Linked DNA regions of Mus musculus: all the other regions are reported to be linked to region 1. Evidence: microRNA targets listed by miRTarBase, many of them from high-throughput screens and not tested one by one. Region 1 holds a microRNA gene; each other region holds the end of a gene's coding sequence.
What was found. The annotated mature microRNA mmu-miR-212-3p reads UAACAGUCUCCAGUCACGGCCA and lies in region 1 at 2,804-2,825, opposite strand. An mRNA with a match to its seed (bases 2 to 7 or 8) in the 3' UTR can be bound and repressed. Matches are read on the target gene's strand: a 7mer-m8 pairs with bases 2 to 8, a 7mer-A1 pairs with bases 2 to 7 and ends in A, and an 8mer does both.

Region 2: the mRNA of Usp54 is a reported target of mmu-miR-212-3p. Seed matches in the 3' UTR shown: 7mer-m8 at 3,229-3,235.
Region 3: the mRNA of Slc11a2 is a reported target of mmu-miR-212-3p. The part of its 3' UTR that is shown has no 7-base or 8-base seed match.

Annotation. Positions count from the first base shown.
Region 1 is chr11:75,172,085-75,176,267 of GRCm38, reverse strand. It overlaps Mir212 (microRNA 212), which reads right to left and starts at 2,880; the gene lies at 2,790-2,880. Ovca2 (candidate tumor suppressor in ovarian cancer 2) reads left to right here. Exons shown (of 2, transcript NM_027136.3): 2 at 1-325. Mir132 (microRNA 132) reads right to left here and starts at 2,586; the gene lies at 2,521-2,586.
Region 2 is chr14:20,546,459-20,550,641 of GRCm38, forward strand. It overlaps Usp54 (ubiquitin specific peptidase 54), which reads right to left. Exons shown (of 21, transcript NM_030180.2): 21 at 2,454-4,002. The coding sequence ends at 3,443. It overlaps Ppp3cb (protein phosphatase 3, catalytic subunit, beta isoform), which reads right to left and starts at 115. Exons shown (of 14, transcript NM_008914.3): 1 at 1-115. The region is part of intron 1 of 1810062O18Rik (RIKEN cDNA 1810062O18 gene); the gene reads left to right.
Region 3 is chr15:100,385,420-100,389,602 of GRCm38, forward strand. Slc11a2 (solute carrier family 11 (proton-coupled divalent metal ion transporters), member 2) reads right to left here. Exons shown (of 17, transcript NM_008732.2): 17 at 2,479-3,742. The coding sequence ends at 3,665. Among named protein-coding and RNA genes, the nearest start is that of Higd1c, 23 kb to the left of the region's middle.

The DNA of each region.
Region 1 (4,183 bases):
TAAAATTTCACGAAAGGATAGACTGGAATTATACCCCAAAGTCCCATGTACTGATTTGAGATCCCTTTTTAACAGCTTGGGTGGGGGATTGGTCTCTGTGCCTTGTTCTTGCCTTACAGTGATTGCTTCCTTGACAAAAGGAGATTGAACACGTGGAATTTTATAAACCCTTTGGTCTATTTGCTTTTCTGTAACTAATTGGTGGGTTTGCAAGTTAGTACTCAGACCACTGGCAGTCATAGGCAGCCCCCTGTGTCAGCTCCAAGCTGGGGGACAGGATGACCTGTACTTGGTAGCCCTATAAATAAAGGCAAAGGTTCATGTGAGTGGTCTGTAGGCCCTGGCTCTACCAGGAAAAAGGGAGGAGAGGGTTCAAGCAGAGCTCTATTAGGTGGAACACACAGAAGGGCCCATGTCTGAAGTGAAGAGCCCTCCCAAGAATCAGAACAGTTCCGAGTCCCAACAAGTGGAGAGTTACTTCCCACCATGCGGAATGAACTACCACATGCACATCCCTGGGGGCCACCTACACAAGGAACACTTGTTAAACCTGGAGTTCCTAGAGAAAACTATAGACCTATTTGTCTGCCCCTGGTCATTCCTGATGTAGCTATTTGCAAACTACAGTCTTGGGTAGAATTTTAAGTCTCTGGTAAATATGTGGTATTAGGAAAGAGCCTCTAGTGGGACTCAAAACCCTCTGGGGAGAAAAAGAAGCCCCCTCCCCCCGAGGAATCAATGCTCTAACATTTATGTACAGCCCAGGCGGATAAGGTCCAGAGGTAGAAATAACATTTATTGAGAATTAACTATACCAGACAATGAGACAAATAGAAGCCTGTCATCTAACTTATTTTTGAGACGGGGGTCTCACGGAAGTTCTGGTTATCCTTGAACTCACAGAAATCCACTTATCTCTGTCTCCCAAGATCTGGTATTCAGAGCATGCTCTACCATAGCCTAACTCATTTATTTTTGGTGCTGGGATCAAACCCAGGACCTTAGGCATGCTAAGCACAGACCTACTACTGAGCTCTATGCCCAGCACCCCTGTCCCCCCCCCCCCCCATTGTCTAATTTCATGAAAAAGTACTGTCATTAACCTAATAACTGAGTCTTACAATTGAGGAAACAGGCACAGAAAGGCTAAGTACCTTACTCAAAATTGGATGATTCAGACTCAAAAGCCCCATATTCTTGTCTGTTGTCATCATCCCCCCCCCCTTTGAGACACGAATCTCATATTTATCTCATATTTATTGTCTAGGCTCCTGAGCAACTGGGACTGCAGGTATACACTGCAGCTCCTGGTTTTGGTTGGTCTTTCTGCTGTCCAGTAAAAAGCAAGCAAAAACTACCGCTCTCTATAGGCTAAATGCCCAACCTGGGCTTCTGCTTTCTAATGTGTAAAGTTGGGAAAGAAGGCATGGTTTACACTAAATGTTTTCTAGGACAACGAACACTCAAAGCATTATATAGTCAACCTTCTAACCACATCTTCTGATGGGTTCCATCTGCAAAAGGTCCTCTTTTCTTTTTTTCTTTTTTCTTTTTTTTTTTTTTTTTTTTTTTTTTTTTTTTTTTGGTTTTTTTCGAGACGACAGGGCTTCTCTGTATAGCCCTGGCTGTCCTGGAACTCACTTTGTAGACCAGGCTGGCCTCGAACTCAGAAATCTGCCTGTCTCTGCCTCCCGAGTGCTGGGAATAAAGGCGTGCGCCACCACTGTCCGGCTGTCCTCTTTTCAAATTATCCCTGCTATTTGTTTTCTGCATCTTGATTACACTCAGGATTTCTACCCTATCAGACAGAGTCTCTCAACAGCCCTAGCCACAGAGAGTATTTACGTGCAGTCTCTGTGGTTGTACTCCTTTTGGGGGCACGTTTGAAGATCTCAAGTTGGGATGCATTACTTACAGACCAGTTGAGGGAAGACTGCTGGCTGATACCTTCAGACAATGAATTAGGGGCCAGGTGAATTTCACTAGCCTGCCAGCTTCTTGCTGTGTTAAGGACCCTTTTAATGATGGCCCAGGAGAAAGTTGGGGGACAGAGTTATGGCTCTATCAGGAAAGGGATTCTTTGCCCTTTCCCCTCTACCTGCTCACCTAGGGTTTTCTGGAAGAAAGGTGTGATAAAACTTCCTTCTCCTCCCCCTTCAGCTTTCTGCTGGCAAAAGTGACTTCTTCCTTCTCACAGGACTCCTGATCCCATCGGTTCACCACTCATGAGATAAGAATCCTTATCGCAGAACCACCCATTTTCTCGCCACCTTAGGCAGCGATACCTCGACTAGGAAGACAGGAGAGTCTCTGAGGAGGATGTTCAGACACTCCGCGGATCTTGCTTCTGCACCGAGGTAGATGCACAGCAGCCTGAAAGGCCGCCTTTCTGAGCACACCTCTTGCCACCTCCGCAGACACATCGAATGTTGCGTCGCCGCCCCGCCTCCTCTTGCTCTGTATCTGCCCAAACCCAGGCTGGCAGAACTCGGGAGTGGTGGGGAGCGTGGGCGTGCTGCGGGGCGACCATGGCTGTAGACTGTTACCTCCGGTTCCCACAGTAACAATCGAAAGCCACGGTTGCCCTGGAGACGCGGGGGCGGGGCTTGCAGGCTGACGTCAGCACCGCGGGCGGCGGGGGTGGCGCGAGTGTCTGCGGGGCCTGCGCCCACCGCAACCCACAGGGACCTTGAACAGGCGTGCCCGAGGGAGGCGCTTGCACTGCATCAGCACCGCGGACAGCGGCGCAGGGAGGCGTGGAGGGGCCGGGGGTCGGCGGTCCTGGGGCGGGGCCAGGCGTCGGTGGCCGTGACTGGAGACTGTTACTGAAGGCGGCCCGGGCAGTAAGCAGTCTAGAGCCAAGGTGCCGGCGCGCTGCCCGGGCGGGGATATCCCGTCGCCCGCAGTTGAGAGTGCTGCTGCTTCTCAGGCCCCCCCACCTCCTCCCAAGCGCGCGCGGACAGACACGCGACCGTGACGTCAGAGTCCTGTGACGTCAAAGATGTCCCAGCGGGGAGGCATTTCCGGCGGTGGGGAGCGGTGGGGGTAGGGCGGGGCGGCCTGATCGAAGCCCCGCCCCCGCCTGGTCCTGAGAGGACAGCTCCGCTTGCAGAGGCGGGAAGTCCTGAGCTCAGTGGGACAGTCCGATGGGACGGGACGGGACCGGACGGGAAGGGACGGGACAGGGAAGGGGCGTGTGTGGAGCATGCAGGACGGGGGTCCCAAGAAAGCCGCAGGGCCGAGGTGTGCGTCTGTCTGTCGTGGGCGCCCTGGCTCAGTCAGTCGGGGCCATCTAGGCTGAGTCACCGCTCTGCGGACAGGGGAGAAATGAGGGGGCGCGTCTCCTGAGACGCCAGCACCTTCTCCCCACTTTCTTGAAAGGATGGCGCAGGAGCTGCTCAGCCTCGGGAAATGGGGTCGGGGGCTCGGCTCTCCGCTTGATGTTTCTCCATAGTGTCTGCGTCTGCATTTGGGTGCCGGCAGGTGCTGCATAGGGTTGGGTCAGCCGCCGGCCCCTGGTCCACCAAGCTGAAAGGAACCTTCGTCCCTCCCACTCTGCCCCCCATCCTCACTCCGGAGTCCCCCTCCAACCCGCCGCCCCTCCGGTCCCCTCCTCGCCTTCCCATGGCGTCCGCGCATCTGCCCATCTCCGACTGTTGGTGGTCCTTACCTGTCGGGCCGCGTCGCACCAGTGCCGGCTTGCCTCCCGCAGCCCGGCCGGCGCCGCCGCTTTTATAGGCGCGCGTAGTACTCGTGCGGCGGCTCATTCATGCGGCCGCGGCTCCTACACACTGACGCGCTGCCGACGTCAGCAGAGAATTTAGGAAACGGGAAAAGAGGCTATTTATAGTGGCAAGCGGGGAGGGGGGGCGTAGGGGAGGGCGGGACGAAGCGACAGGGAGTTGGAGCGGGAGGAGGGTGCGCACGCGGAAGCAGGGTTGGGTAGGGGAGTACGTAACCCCAGGCTTGGCCTCCAAGGGGTTAACTTTCCGGAACTGCAGGCGACGGGCTGGGGGAGAATAGTGCAGGGAGGGTGAGGCCCCGTTCTGTGTTTATTCACTCTCCCCTTCCGGGGCTTTGCGAGTCCTAGGATCTCAGTTCTTTTCTCCTGGACCGCAGGGGTCCTCCCTTGGCAGCCCCAAACCACACTGCTCATTCCCTAGACCCTACAGTCCTCTGACGC
Region 2 (4,183 bases), not on the chromosome of region 1:
CTAGGTGCCGGGACGGGCGGGGTTGGGGGCGGGGGCGGCGGCTACCAGAGCCAAGCGGCGGCGCCGCCGGGGAACATGGCGGACCCTCTTTCCCTTCAGAGGGGCTAAGACCGTCATGCATCGCGCGTGCAGGGGCGGGGGCGGGACAAGCTCCAGGGACTTGAGCAAAATTACCGAGGCTACTACAGAAACGGAAACAGTCCAAGGGATCAGGTGAAAATTCCGTACATGCAGAAAGACAAACCAGTAAAGAGAGGTTGCAGATTAAACTGAGGGGCTGTTGATAAAATGCAAGGGGAAAAAAGGACGGTTTTTTGGCCGCTTTGGAGCCCAGGAAAATGAAGAGGTGTAATTTGATCTCAGAATTTCCCAGGCCTAGACAAATATATGACAATTTATCTACAAAATCTAAGTGATAATACTATGGCCAGAGAGAAAAATGAAAGAAGCATCAGGGAATCTATAGAGTGGCATTATCATTTAAAATGAAATTTTCCCTTTAATACCAGACCTCAGGAGGCAGGGGAAGGCAGAACTCTGTAAGTTCAAGTCTAGCTAGGTCTAACCACTCAGGGCAACAAAGTGAGACTGTCTCAACAAAACGGGGCCCTAGAGAGTTGCATAGAATTCGAACTCTTGCTTTGAGAGTTTGGAAAAGTCCAAAGGCACATAAATTCAGCTGGAAAAGTCTAAGCACCACGATTTAAGAACCAAAATGGATCAAGGGAAGTAGGGAATGACACCAAGAGGTGTCCTGAGAACCTGTAAGATTCCCCTGGAAAGCCATTGCCTCTCTCGTAATTCACTGAGCAAATAAATTTGAAGGCAGAGAGATGGTTCAATGGATAAAGGTGCTTGCAGCCAAGGACTGTGATTTAAGTTCCTTAGGACTAATCCCCATGGCCGAAGGAGACAATGGAAAGAAGGAATTAGACTCCTTCTAGTCTGACATCTACTAAAACTTGTAAATAAAGAAATGAAATAGAAAAAAATGGAAAGCAGAGACTAAGTAGGTAGAAAATAGGAAATTAGTTCCTTATCTTTGTACATACTCGGAATTTGAATTTGGGCAACTTGCAGAAACAGATCCAAGTTGACCAGCATCCAAGAGGTCAAGAAACAAGTACAGGTGGTCCTTAACAGTTATTAATAAGATGCTCAGATGCTGAAGGCATAGGCCACCAAACCCAGTAATGGAACCACAGGGCACACAAGGTATTAAAAGAGAACTGACTAGTACAGCTTACTCTAGCCTTCATGTGTCCTCCTCATACATATGCACAGTCATTACACTTCTTCCAAAAAGATAGAATTGTGTGTATGACACGAGCAGTGTTGAATGGTTCAGGGGCCAACATATCTACTAAGGCCCATGTCTCTATGTTATAGCATCCAAATAGGATGAAACAAGAAAGCCCTCTGTATCTTATTACTCAGTAACACAAGTTCTCAGAATCTGTCCTCAGTGATTAGGAGGGCAACGTTCTCAGCATCTGTTGTTTCTTTGTGTTCATCAGTAAGATCAAGATCTGGAATAAATAAGGAGGGAAAACCCAATAGACATTCTTTGCAAAGGGAACCTTCCAAATTATTTTCTTTTGTGTGTTTATGTGTTTTACCTGCATGAATGTCTGTGCACCACATGTGTTCAGTCTCCATAGAGGGCAGAAGAGTAGATTATATTCCCTGGAACTAGAGCTACCAAATATTGTGAACCACTATGTGGTACTGAAAACTGAACCTGGGTCCAATACATGAACAGCTTGTTCTCTTAACCATTGAATCATCTCTCCAGCCACTACAAAATACTTTTCAAAGGAAAGAGACTGTTGGGAGTGTGTCATGGGTGAAGATAGCTCTCATTATCACAGAGATATTCTGACTCTTAAGGGGAAAGGAAAGGGAGCAAGGCAATAGGAAGAGCAAAGGATTGGAGTCACATCACACACCTGGAATGCAGAGAGGAAAGGCACCAAGGCTGGTACTGTACTGGGAGTGAGTTTGTCAAGGTGGTTTGAATGCCCAGAAGACAAGGGGAGGAATGGAGAATGTAATGCACTGAGTGTCCCAGGCAGGGGAGGGATAGTTAACACGCTAACAGCCATAACAAGAGGGAAAGACTCTTAAAGATATGTTGACTCCATAAGTGAGTTTGTTTTTTTTGTTTGGTTTTTTGGTTTTTCGGTTTTTCGAGACAGGGTTTCTCTGTGTAGCCCTGGCTGTCCTGAAACTCACTTTGTAGACCAGGCTGGCCTCGAACTCAGAAATCCACCTGCCTCTGCCTCCCAAGTGCTGGGATTAAAGGTGTGTGCCACCACACCTGGTCAGTTTGTATTTTTAAATTCCTCTTTGGCTATTCATTTTCACTTGGTCAAAGGCATTTCATATAAATGTTGAAGCCTCCCGACCCCAGAAGAAAAGAGCAAGGACATACAAAAGTAAAAGACAAGAGATTAAATACAACTATCTTATAGATTTATTAATGAAAAATACTTTACAAAACCAGTATGCTTTGCCCTAAAATACTTTAGCTGACTCTTGAGAGTTTACAAGGGTGAGTGAGCAGTGGTAGTAATGGCTCTGCTGCTAAGGACAGGAGGGGTGTTAGTGTGCCCAACTCCATCTGTTCAGAAGGGCAAACAGTGTATTGGCAGCTCCACATTCTAGGCCTAAAGTCTGAGTCACAAGGAAGGCTGACAGGCCATAATACCTGGGCAGTTGGGCTTCCCTTAAGGACGTGGTCAGAATCCTGACTATGGGGATAAATACCCCTTTTCCATTGATACGAAATAGGGAAGAAAGAATGTTAAGTAATATGGACAGGTGGATAAACAAAGAGTGTAAGTTGGGAGTATAGTAGGACCAGAAGATGAGGGCTCTGATGGAGATGGGGCCAAAAGAACCAGAACTAAAGTAGTCCAGACTAGTCTAGAACTTGTTATGTAGCCAAGGATAACCCTGAACTTCTGATCCTCCTCCCTCTGTCTCCCAAGTGCTAGGATGACAGTTGTGCACCACCATGGTCAGTTTCACACACTTCTAAGGATAGAACCATGGCTGATGTGCATGTTACAAAAACACGCTACCAATTGAGCTACATCCCCAACTCTAAAGCTGGAATTTCAAATATTCCCTCTCAAAGCAGCAAACACCCTTAGGGGAAAAAAAAATCAATGTCTTCTTTGTTGTTGTGGTTCTGTTCTTTAAAACAAAACAACAACAACAACAAACAGTCTCTTTTTACCCCAGTCTCTGGCCTTGAAATGCTGATTCCCCAATCTCTACCTCCCAACTACTGGGATTACAGGCATATGGTGCCTGGAATGAAATGGCCAAGTCTGTTGAGATGAGACTGGCATAACTGGCAGGAAACAAGGTGTCACTGCGCCGCCGTACAGTTTTATGGATGAAGGTGTAGCTCCAGGGCAGGTTAGGGTGGCCCTTACCACCTGCTGTGCTGTAGAAATCTCACCCTGTTCTGCTCTCTTCCAGCAGCATTTGATAGAGCAAACATAATTCTTTCCTCTCCTGGGCTCCTGTGTCTGTCCTGGGAGGGGTAACTGCTCTGTCTCCAGTCATCATCTGGGGGCATGTCTATTCTTCGTGGACCAGGTGTTCGGGACCCCAGAACAGGACCAGAATTCCAAGTTGACCTAAGGGGTACATGAAGATTGCTGGATGGTGGGGACCCTGGGTGAACAGCAGAAGGATGGGAGGGTGAGTGGAAAAGATTCCCCCAGGACTGAGCATGTGGAACCTGAAGGCCCTGGTGTCTTTCTGGTAGTGTGGCAGTGTAGGTTAGCTGAGGCTTGCATGCTGGCATAGTTAGGACTCTGGCCCCAATGTGCTGGTTGGTCTCTGACCCTGGTCCCCAGGAAGCATCAGTTCTGGAACGATGAGGTAGACTTCGGTAGTTCAAAGTCCTTCCTGTGTACTTGACCCCTTGGGGAGTTTCATCCCTGTCACACATAGCCAGAAACTGGTGGACACTCCTTGAAGTTCCTAAGAAGAGAAAAGAAACCCAAACACTGAGCATCTTTAGAAAATAAATCTACTTCCCAACCCTTAACTCCTCCAAGAATACATACAAGAAACCTAGGTTCAATTAATATGTATATATTTTAATTTTTCCCCAGTCCTGAGGATTGAATCCAGGACCTGTGCATGCCAGGCAAACACTTTA
Region 3 (4,183 bases), not on the chromosome of region 1:
GGGGAGACTATGAATGAATGAATGAATGAGTGAATGAATGAACAAATGATCTCTTGGTCCCCTGGTATGTTCTCTTCCTCTTGCTACTGCCTCACTTGGTACCATCCACCATGGGGCAAGAGTCCCTCAGTAGAAGTGCTAGCTAGCCCCATGTCTTTGAACTATACTGTGAGCTAAATACACTTCTTTTCTGATAAAGTACCCTGTTCTTGGGTATTTTAAGAAACAGATTAATACTGCTCTATAATGCCACTATATACAGAAGCCCAGACTTGTTACCATATAGTAGAAAATTATGATTGTTACTGGTTCATTGTTTTGGGTATTTTGCGTGCGCTCATGCAAGAAGCTACCAGAGGGCACTGGATTCCCTGGGTCTGGAGTCACTGATGTGAGTTGCCCCGAGGGTGCTGGGAGTGGCCAGTGCTCTTACCCACTGAGTAACCTCTCTAGTCCCTTGTGCCCTAAGACCAAGATCTTGGCATGTGGCCCAAACTGGCCTTGATTTTGAGATCCTCCTGGCTCAGCCTCCAATCGTCTGAATAACAAAGATCGCCATGCCCAAGCTGAATGTTTTGTTAAAGTTATACTTTTAACGACTTGTGCATGTATGTACGGGTGTACAGGAGCCGCAGCATGCGTAGAGATCAGACATTTTGTGAGTTGCTTTTCTCCACCCTGGGGTTCTCTGGGATGGAACTCAGGTCATTAGGCCTGGTGGCAGGTGAATTTAATTACCTCCTGAGCTATCTTGCCAGCACCATTAACATTTTTTGACTTCTTTTTTGCTTTTTTTTTTAATGTGTATGTTCTGTCTGCATGTATGTTTGTGTACCACATGCATGTCTGGTGCCTGAAGAGTTCAGAAGAAGCATCAAATCGCAGGATTTTTAACTGGACACAAAGCCAAGGGTGAGCCTGGTCTTTCTGATCCTCTTAGCTCTCTCTCCAGTGTTGGAACGCTGGCGCGCACCACAGGCCTCATTACCACCACCACCCCCTTTTTTTTCTTCAGTGTTGGGTTGAATCAAGGGTTTCATGAATGCTAGCCAAAGTTCATACTTGTTCTTAATGGCATAAAGCTTAACCAAGGCTCACTCTTTAGACGTCAATCTTTCAATGGATTTGGTATGTATTATACTTTCTGCTGACAAGAAGCTGTGAGGCCTCGGGGAGATGATACCTGTGAATGTGTGGCATCTTATCTCTGTTCCTACCTGCACCCAGAGGAAGCGCAGAGAGGAGCTACAGAAAGCCTTGAGAGTTCTTGACCTCTCTCATCTGCCTCACCTTTGTATGAATCGCAAAACAGGATGCTTCTGTCTTCAGTCTTTCTTCTCCCACATAATCTCCCAGGGAAAGAAGTACTGAGAAACAGAAGTGGAGGGTCGGGTGGGTGTACAAGAAATGGGTTCATCTGGGACTGTGACGGGTCTTCACCAAACCGAAACACAGGGACTTCGGTAACCGAAGCTCAGCCCAGCTGCTGCTGCTTCTGTCTGTTAAGGTCAGAACTGTGACCTAGGCTACAAGGCTGTTCTAAGTCTTCAGTGGCCTTGTGGCCAAGCAGAACTGAGCACACTTTCAACCCCAGCTCTTGGGGGCTAGGCAGGAGGATCTCTAAGTCTGAGGCTAGCCTGGTCTACATAACAAGTTCTAGGTAAGCCCTGGGCTGGAGAGATGGCTCAGCAGTCCAGAGCACCGACTGTTCTTCCAAAGGTCCTGATTCAATTCCCAGCAACCACATTACAACCATCTGTAATGAGAGCTGATGCCCTCTTCTGGCGTGTCTGAATATACTCATATAAATTAAATAAAATCTTTAAAAAATAAAATTAAAAAAAAATTTTTAAAGGCCCCAAGGTGGACGTGAAGAAGCTGTAAAGGGTGAATTTAGCAAATGCCCTCGCAAGCTGGGAGGTGGTGGCTCCCACCCTTAAATCCAGCACTCAAGGCAGAGGCAGGTGGATCTGAGTCTAAGGTTGGTCTGGTCTACAGAGTGAGTTCCAGGACGGCCAGGGCTACACAGAGAAACCCTGTCCTAGAAAACCAAACCAAACAAAACAAAAAGAGTAATGTCTGATCTCTCTGTTTCTACATTTAATGCTGAAAGATGAATGTGACATTTAAAGTCACACATAGCCTATGGGGTTTACAGACTCAGAGCCTAGAGAGCAAAAAAGTAAAGAAGAATATGAAGGCCCTGTGCCCGATAAGCCGTGTGCCCCTGGGGCACACATGGCAATGACAGTGGGCAGCTATGATTCAGTTCTAGCCTGCTGTATTGTCTACTGTACTGCCAGGTAGGAACGCAGGTCAAGTGCTGTAACTGATTAACTGATTCCCTAAGAAGACAGTTAGAGTATGAGTGTGTGCGTTTGTGTGTTCAGGAGTGCCTGTGTGTGTGTGTGTGTGTGTGTGTGTGTGTGGTGGGCAAGCAAAGAGCTCTACAAATGAGTCGCACCCCTAGACAAAAGCTTTTAGCTATTAAGCATGAACTTTATTATAACAAGGATGATTATTTCTGGTTGGGATTAAAGCAAAAACCAAAAAGCTTCACTACCTGCACACGCGCGTTTGGAGTGTCGGTGCTTAAAGTGAAACTGATGGTCTGTGTTCCCATCGAGTGCGAGCCTCAGACCTCTGCTAACACACACCTTAAAATGCTTAAATTCCTCAGGACACTCAGCGGTACACATACGGGCGGCCCTTAGAGACAGGGTGAGGACAGTGTGTGGAGTGTCAGCGCGTAGAGTGGGAAGAAAGGGCAGGTGGACAGACACCAACGGAACAACAGCCACAGACACACTTGATGTAGAGACAAAGGGGGAAAGTTGGTAAAGTACCTGCTGTCCAGGAAGACCTGAGTTTGGGTCCCCAGCACTGTGTAAAATCTGGGCGTAGCAGCTGATCTGGGACCACAGTGTTGGGGCGCGAGGCCAGGAGGATCCTTGAACTTACTGGCTGGCTAGCTCAGTCACACACTGAACTCCATGTTCAGAGAGAGACTGGAGACACCTGATGCCAACCCGTGGCCCCCACAAGCAGAAGCAGGCAGGCACTCGCGCACGCACACACACACACACACACACACACACACACACACACACACACACACACACTGTGGTAGAGACTGGAGACACCTGATGCCAACCCGTGGCCCCCACAAGCAGAAGCAGGCAGGCACGCGCGCGCGCACACACACACACACACACACACACACACACACTGTGGTAAAGCAGCGCTTCAAGAGTTATTTTGGGGAAGTTCATCGTCAGAAAGGTCCCTTTCTCATTTGTTACCCAAATAGAACAAAGACCTAACTCACCTGAAAGGCATTTGTAAAAATCTATCAAGTTTTATAACCTTAAAATCTTACCCAAACTGGCACGTTTGGGTTCACATAAATACATATCGATACACTTTAAACCCCAGAAGTGCAGACACAAGCCTGAGGGACTGCACAGCTGCCACAGGCCCACTGCCTCCGAAGGGTCTCTGACCCATACGCAACTGTCAGCTTTTACCCTGAGTCCGTGAGGAGAACTTCTCCTTTGTTCAAAAACCTTTGAACAAGCTCACCTCCGAACTAAGGGATTTGCTAACAGGCACTTGGCCCGAAAGGGCTTAGAGAAAGTGTTCTTAAGGTCTCCTGGGCTGTTAGTCATCTGGACACCACTGAGTCAGCATCCACGGTGTTCAGAAGATAGAGTTCAGGCTGAGCGGTCAGTCCCAGGCGGTACTGAGGGAGGACAAAAGCACAGGGAGACAGTTAGTGTCACTAGCAAGGAATTACACTGTGGACGTACACATTATTTTGGCCTCTTTGCTCAGTACAATTGAATTTTATTTCAGAATAGAAAATGGTGTTATGTGAGGTTCTTATTTAAGATCATGGACACTTTTTAGATTTTTATTTTAGGTACATCAGTGTATGTAGTGTGCACACGTCTGCTGCCCACAGGGGTCAGAGGGAGGCACTGGATCCCCTGGGATTGGACCTAGAGAGGGCGTGTGGAGGTCAGCCACACAGCAGCCAAGCAACCCTGAGGTAGAGAGAGCACTCTAGAGAAAGGCTGCAGCCTGGAGTGCCAGAGAAAGCGTGCTTAGAACACAGGCAGGGGGTGAAAACCTTCAGTGTGTGTGCTTCGTGGCTGCCTGAGATGGAGCTGAGTTAAGGATG